Linked DNA regions of Arabidopsis thaliana. The protein of the gene in region 1 purifies or fractionates together with the protein of each later gene. This does not show direct contact. Each region holds a gene or a part of one and is shown on either strand. Other genes may lie near its edges. The genes, in order: PNM1 and AT1G64880.

Region 1 (3,932 bases):
GTATAATATATATACAGTTTTGCTAGATTTTTCACGGTACGAAATAATTTTGTTTTCTAGTTATAGTTAGTTAATTGGAGTTGTTGTAATTTCCATATAGTCTACATGTTTAGTTTGATGTCGATATAAATATTAATGCCTTTTATGTCATTTCTTGAGTGTTGGATACAAATAACGATCATTCTCCTAACTCCAAACAAGTAATTAGGAGATTAGGTTCGAAATATATGTATTAGGAGATTAGTTTAGCACACATCCCTGACGATATATGTATTTGGAAGCTTGTTAGGAACCGACATTCTCATAGCCTATGCTGAGCATCTGACTAACCCAAAATGATGACGACGTGAGATATATTCGTAAGCAAATTATGTGGAGGACCGGGACATAAGCGCACAAAGGGAACACGCTATTGGGCTGTAAAAATAAAGGAGAAAGAGCTCACAAATTTTCTAAAGAAGACAAAATCAATATGAGCCCCCGGCGAGGATCGAACTCGCGGCCTTTCGCTTACGAAGCGAACGCAATACCACTATGCTACGGAGGCATCCGAAATTATAAAGGTATTTTTAATATATAATTCGGTTCGTTTTCCATATTTTCCAACTACTGCGTGACGATAAACTAAAAGCTTAAGTGATGGGTTCAGGGTTCTTCATGTACTGATGTATAAGACTCATAATATTCATGTGCTGATGTTCACATGAAGATAAATATTATGAAAAGAACCTTTGTGACTTCATCACGATATATAAGACTCACATGCAACCAAAGAAAATGATCAAGTTAGAAGAAGACTCACAAATTTCAAAATAATTTTTTACTTTTGCTACGGAGGTCTCTGGAGGCCAGGGAGACACGGTTTCATGAGTCATGATTGTTATCTTTTCAAAAATATAGATATTATTAATATGTTATTATTTTCTCCTATAGTGTTACCGGCTATAAAATAAAAAACTTGAGAGTTCAGACGTATTAGAATGTGTGATTTCCATCATCCAGACATAATCTGTTCACCATGTTTGCTGATTTGAATTTCAATATTCGTAATTATAAATACATAAATTTTTTAAGAAGATTAACCTTGTAACTATTTGTTTATATGTCTATGTCCATGTAAAGTATCATATTGTCAACTAAATAAAGATGAAACACAGAAAAGTGAATGTTGTAATGCTATTATTGTATAATTGTAGTTTTTGAGTACAACATTTAGCAAATCAACTTTATTTTTGTTAAAAGACTTATATATATATATATATATATATATATATATATATATTAAAATTCTATTTTCTAACAACTTTTAAACAATGATTTCTTATGAAAGAAGGAAAATGTGGCATGTATGGAATTTTTGGCAAGCAGTAATCTCTGGTATGTAAATATGCCTTGCAACAATAAGGACTAATCACCCATCGCCTATTAGATACGGATTGAGTAGTTTCTATAACGCATATTGGAAATTTCATCACAGATGAATAACATTTGAATATACGAGAAAATACTGGAAAACTATTAAGTAACGGATATGGATCAGTAAAAATAGACGAAAATGGTGGCCTTGCATTTACGGAGACTATAATGCATATGACCATTAAAAGTGAAATCACATTTTTAATAGACATACTGAGATATTGAGAAAAAATAAAGAAAAAAAACTTTGTTAGTATAACAAAATATATGTTTAGTAGTTGATTGATGAACAACAATAAAATCCTTGCCTATTTAAATGGAAGGGAACAAAACTATGGTATTAATTATCTTGATTAACGTCTTTGAACTCTTTTAATAGCACTTATTAATTAGCAGTTTATAAAATTGAATAGTGTTAAAACTTCTAGAAACGAACAACATTTAAGTAACAAATATAGGAATATGTTAATTCTATGAGGACTCTATGTATTAATTAAATTAAAAAAAAAATGAATAATAAAATTATAACATGATTATTATTAGAGTAGGTGGAGGTGCGGGGAATCGAACCCCGTGCCTCTCGCATGCGAAGCGAGCGCTCTACCATATGAGCTACACCCCCATTTTGAGTAAAAATGAAACAGATACATAATAAATTCAAATTAAACAATCAAAAGGGGCTTAAGCAAATCAAGGCCCGAAACGAAGCCCAATTACTCAAGATGTTCCTAAATCCTGAACTAGGGTTTTATTCTATTTCCCTTTCTCACTAACTCTCTAGTTACCAATTTTCTCTCACTAAATCAGAAATGCCGCCGTCGTTACCGTCTCTGCAACTCCGACGGCTTCTCCTCCGTAGCTTCATTTCCTCCTCCTCCGTCAATACTCTTCAATCTCAGCCCCGTATCATTTCTTCCAAGCCGTTGTTTTCTCCTCTTCCCCCTTCCCGTTCCTCTATATTCTCAACATTTCCTTCTAGATTCTTCTCATCTGAAACGAATGCGGAATCGGAATCTTTGGATTCGAATGAGATCGCTCTCTCTTTCTCGAAGGAGCTCACCGGGAATCCAGACGCCGAGTCTCAAACCATTTCGCAGAGATTCAATCTCAGCTTCTCCCACATCACGCCTAATCCCGATTTGATTCTCCAAACTCTTAATCTCTCACCGGAAGCTGGTCGCGCGGCTCTAGGTTTTAACGAGTGGTTAGATTCGAACTCTAACTTCTCTCACACCGATGAAACAGTTTCGTTTTTCGTCGATTACTTTGGCCGTCGGAAAGATTTCAAAGGAATGCTAGAGATCATCTCGAAATACAAAGGTATCGCCGGAGGTAAAACACTAGAATCGGCGATTGATAGGCTTGTTAGAGCTGGTAGACCTAAGCAGGTCACTGATTTCTTCGAGAAAATGGAGAATGATTATGGTTTGAAACGTGATAAAGAATCACTTACCTTGGTTGTGAAGAAGCTTTGTGAGAAAGGACACGCGAGTATCGCAGAGAAGATGGTGAAGAACACTGCTAATGAAATATTTCCTGATGAGAATATATGTGATTTGTTGATTAGTGGATGGTGTATTGCTGAGAAACTCGATGAAGCAACTAGGTTAGCTGGTGAAATGTCTAGAGGAGGATTTGAGATAGGAACCAAAGCGTATAACATGATGCTTGATTGTGTTTGTAAGCTTTGTAGGAAGAAAGATCCTTTTAAGCTTCAACCTGAAGTAGAGAAGGTTTTGCTGGAGATGGAGTTTCGTGGTGTACCTAGAAACACAGAGACTTTCAATGTGTTGATTAACAATCTTTGTAAAATCAGGAGAACTGAAGAAGCAATGACATTGTTTGGTAGGATGGGTGAATGGGGTTGTCAACCAGATGCTGAGACTTATCTTGTTCTGATTAGGAGTTTGTATCAAGCAGCGAGGATCGGTGAAGGGGACGAAATGATCGATAAGATGAAATCAGCGGGATATGGTGAGCTTTTGAATAAGAAAGAGTATTACGGGTTTCTCAAGATATTGTGTGGGATTGAGAGGCTTGAGCATGCGATGAGTGTGTTTAAGAGCATGAAAGCTAATGGATGCAAACCTGGGATCAAGACTTATGATTTGTTGATGGGGAAAATGTGTGCGAATAACCAGCTGACTAGAGCTAATGGTTTGTATAAAGAAGCGGCTAAGAAAGGAATCGCTGTTAGCCCTAAGGAATACAGAGTAGATCCACGGTTTATGAAAAAGAAGACCAAGGAAGTGGATAGCAATGTTAAGAAGAGGGAGACTTTGCCTGAGAAAACCGCGAGGAAGAAGAAACGGCTCAAGCAGATCAATATGAGTTTTGTTAAGAAACCGCACAATAAGATGAGACGGAGAATGTGATGCTGATGAATCTTCAACATCTGATAGAATTTTCTAAAGATTATTGTCTTTGTTCTTTCCTTTTTAAGATATTGTCAAGAGTACTCATCATTTTGCTTGATCATGAGCAAATTGTCCCAATAATCTTTTGTTTTGTCTCAG
Region 2 (3,932 bases), on another chromosome or scaffold:
TGTATGGCAATATCCACCATGGTCAAAGAAAAGATAACTTCAGAACATACCAAACAAAGGGTATCATAAACTCATGTAACTATTAGACTACTGGCCTTCTTAAGTATTCATATTGCATGAAAGGAAATTGATCCATTTGTTATAATCTAATAGAATGTATGGTTGAACTTATAAGAGAATTAAGGTAATATCGTGGAAAATGCAAACATCTCTTAATAGAGATATGCCGCATTGTACTAGCACATAACGCATTTTGAAGCAACACCAAGCCTGAACTTTTTGGCTATGTGCTTCTCTCAATAAAGCAGTTACAGCACTACAGCTACAATGGTTACCACGAAAAGTTCTAAATCAAGATCAAACTCTATTGCTTACCAAGCCTGACATATAGAGAATGCACTTACTTTTCTGTATAAAGGTTGTCTTTTCTTCTCTGTCAAAGCATTTCTGTCTTCAGCCAGCTCTCTAATCTCCTCTTCCAACCGTTTCCCCTTCTTCCCAAAGGTATGATCAAGCTCAGAAAGCTTAATCTCAAGTTTCTTGTCAATCGCATTCAGCTTCTCCAACAAAATATCATCCCTTTCTTTCATGTCATCAAACTCCTCTTCATCATCATCATCATCATTGTCATCCTTAGGCCCATCAGCAACAAGACGCTCTTCTCTTTCTTCACCACCACCTTGAACATTATCACGTTCAATAACTCCATAATTAGCAGGGTTGTTTGGATCAAAAGCCTCTTTCCACTCAACCAACCTCATAGCTCTATTCAATTTCTGCTGCAGAACAAACTTCTCTTTCCCTTCAGCTACCTTCAAACGATTCATCAGCTCACCAATAACCCTATACTCAGGTCTAAGCTTGAAATGCTTCTCCTCAAATTTGTCTAATTTGTTCATCCATCTAAATGCCTCATCAAGTGTCTCTGCCAAACAATAACACAACAACTTAGAACTAATCAGAAAACAAACCATAAACCATTTCTAAGCCATAAACAAATGTTCATATACCTGACTTGGTAAGAGTCTGAAGAAGCTCCTTATGTCTCTGAAACTTCTTATTAAAGATATCTTCTTTCTTCCTCTCTTCATCCAAATCAATCTCATCATATTCACTATCCGAATCAGAAGACTCTTCACGCCTATTTAATTCACCATCATCTTTCAAATTCTGCTTCTTAAGCTTCTCGATAAACGGCTCAATCCCTAAGTAATCTTCTTCGTCTTCGGCATCAATGTCTTTGTAATCAAGTCCTTGTCTTTGTCTCTCCTCTCTCTCACGCTGCTTCTCTTTCTCAACCTCTGCTATAAGTTCTCTCACTACTCTATCAGCTTCCGATGGTGACATTGTGCTTGAGGAGAAGAAACGGTACCTCTGAGATGAGATCCATGGCGTTTGATTTACGGGAAAGAAGGAGGAGGAGTAGTAACCGGAGATTCTTCTGGGAAATGTTGATGTTGAGGAATCGAGAGTAGATATCTGACGAGAAAATGAAGATCTAGGGTTCCGGCGAAGTAGAAGACGAGGCCATGACGATGCTCGAGTTCTCAAAGACATCGTCAGAGATTCATCAGATGGAAATGGAAGATAGAAATTTCAAAAACCTTGAGAAGACTGAAATGATTTTTAGGGTTTTTGTGTGTAGTGTGACATTTATTTTACAAATGGGCTTCACTTTCACTCATGGGCCCAATTTAGTCATGTGAGTAAATCCTCCCAAAAATCACCTACAAGCTTATTTTCAAAACTTCATATGGTTGCAATGGCTGATATGTGAAAGGTTTATGAACGATATAAATCTAGTTTTTGTCAGGATTTATCCAAAAGTGCATCATTTACAGTAAATTTACATTTATTCAATTTTGAATATGACCCACGTAATAAATAAAAATAGTTTGTTCTTCGTCTTAACAACTATTTGCAATCTCTACAAGACAATATTTATTGTGTATTTCCTATTTGGATTCTTGAAACGTGACTAGGGTTTATAAATTGATTTGATGTGCCTTGATTGTTATACTTTGTTATCATACTTTGATCAATAAAGAGATTATATCCTACTCTATCTTGTGTACAAAGTTGAGAAAGATCTATCGGTAGGAAGTCTTCTATCAGAGGCGGCCAAACTAATTAGTGATGACGCTTTTGCACTGCTCTGCATCTCCAATTACTTCACTTGACTCATTTGGCTTCATTTCTCTTCCAACACACCTCTTTTAACCCCAGCAGGTCCACAAATCCAAAAACACTAAAAGATATCGAAAACTATATGTTCTCGATATCAAAGACTCGATAATATACATTTAAAAGACCTATGAAATGTGTTAAAACTAATCGCTTAACATTCGTCTGTGTATGCTTATGGTTCTGCGTTTATGGTCTTCTTTTCGAGTTCTTTTCCTTTTTCCACTGTCGATAATCTCTGTATTCATTTTAAAAAAATCCGGTTAACTTGGTTATTTTTGGCTAAATTCGATTTTTTTCCAATTAATGAAGGTAATTTGGTTCGGTTCTGTTTGATTTGATTATTGGTGAAAATCGGTCTAAATTTGGTATAATCCGTTTAATAAAAAAACAATTACTCGAGAAACCGATCCGTCTATTGTATGATTATCCTCCATTTCTAACAACATCAAAGTTTATCTCTTTGAATTTATTATCTGTGGATTTCTTGCACATTTAGACTTAATTACTTACTAAAAAGAAAGGTAAACAATAGAAGAGAGAAAATCTTTTGTTTTATTCAATAAATTTAATTGATAAAATTTTGTGATATCTTTCTTTATAAAGAAGAAAAATTTGTGCAAGACTACCATTTTTTTATTAATAAATTAAGAAACTAGCACTCTATATTCAAACTATAGTAATTAAACATGGAAGGTAGTTTATGAAAAAACTTGGTCTCTTTGTTAGTGGTGATAGTGGTTGTTGTGGTGGTAGTCCTGGTGGTTTTAACGTCAGTGGTGCTCGTGGCAGCATCAACGGTGGTAATAGAGACGATGATGATGGCGGTTGTCAATGACATCAAAGGGATCCTACTAAAATTCATTCAAAGGAGGAACCGACGGTGACAGTGACGGTGACGATGATGGTGATTTCCCCCAAATCAGCGTAGTATCGTTAGAAGCTTGGTTGATCAAAAGCTATTTATTTTAAACGTGTGAATTATATTTTATGTTGAGAAAACATTAGAGATATGGTAGTGCATAAAAATATTGAGTACCACTCTTGCTTAAAAGAAATGTGAAATATATTGGATATCTAAAGTCACCTCAAACCTCAAACTTAAGTGAAACACATTCCCGTCAAATTAAGTGAAGATACCATCGTCGAAACGTTACATATGGTTTCTAATTATTAGACTACAATATAAGATAAGGGATTTGACACCAGCAAATTGAAAAACTAGAAACTAAAAATCCTTATGACTTTATTTAATTAGATAAGACCGTCTTTATTATTCTTGAACTTACGAGCCCAAATATGCTTTCCATTGATCTTATACTTTTGTTTTTCCTGGCCGCTGAGTATACGATCTACGGTAACAACCGAGTCCAAGACCATCTTCGCGAATAGTGGTTGTTGCTGATGACCATTGCAATTTGTGTTGTCATTGGAGGAATTTCCACCGTCCTCTGGCATGTAAACGCTTTCGACACAATCTTCTCCATATATCTCGGTGAAGAGATGAATCACCTCAGCATGTGACACGGGAAAACCACGAGAAAACGTTAGAAATACCGTCCGTTCTTTATCAGTCGCGACATGGTTAGCGTTCCAGCCCCAAAGACCATGAGGAAAAAGAAATGAATTTGCGTTTGGAAGATTATCCCTAGCAACGATATTAGGCAATACGTTGATGCTCCCAAAAGTTGGATGAGGGAAACCGGGAATGATGAGAGGGTGGCGGAGATTGGTGATGAATGAGGATG

What was found.
Region 2: the proteins of PNM1 (region 1) and AT1G64880 fractionate together in Arabidopsis thaliana (co-fractionation; one large-scale study listed by BioGRID). This does not show direct contact.

The regions. Positions count from the first base shown.
Region 1 is NC_003076.8:24,528,282-24,532,213, reverse strand, and holds the start of PNM1 (Pentatricopeptide repeat (PPR) superfamily protein), read left to right. Parts: upstream 1-2,181; 5' UTR 2,182-2,225; coding exon 2,226-3,791; 3' UTR 3,792-3,932. Other genes in the region: AT5G60964 (ECA1 gametogenesis related family protein), read right to left, coding at 1,290-1,628. UniProt on the Arabidopsis thaliana protein: RNA-binding protein that functions in both mitochondrion and nucleus. In mitochondrion, it is associated with polysomes and may play a role in translation. Required during embryogenesis.
Region 2 is NC_003070.9:24,103,338-24,107,269, reverse strand, and holds the start of AT1G64880 (Ribosomal protein S5 family protein), read right to left. Parts: upstream 1,660-3,932; 5' UTR 1,558-1,659; coding exon 1,011-1,557; intron 926-1,010; coding exon 405-925; intron 1-404. Other genes in the region: AT1G64870 (uncharacterized protein), read right to left, coding at 3,439-3,932.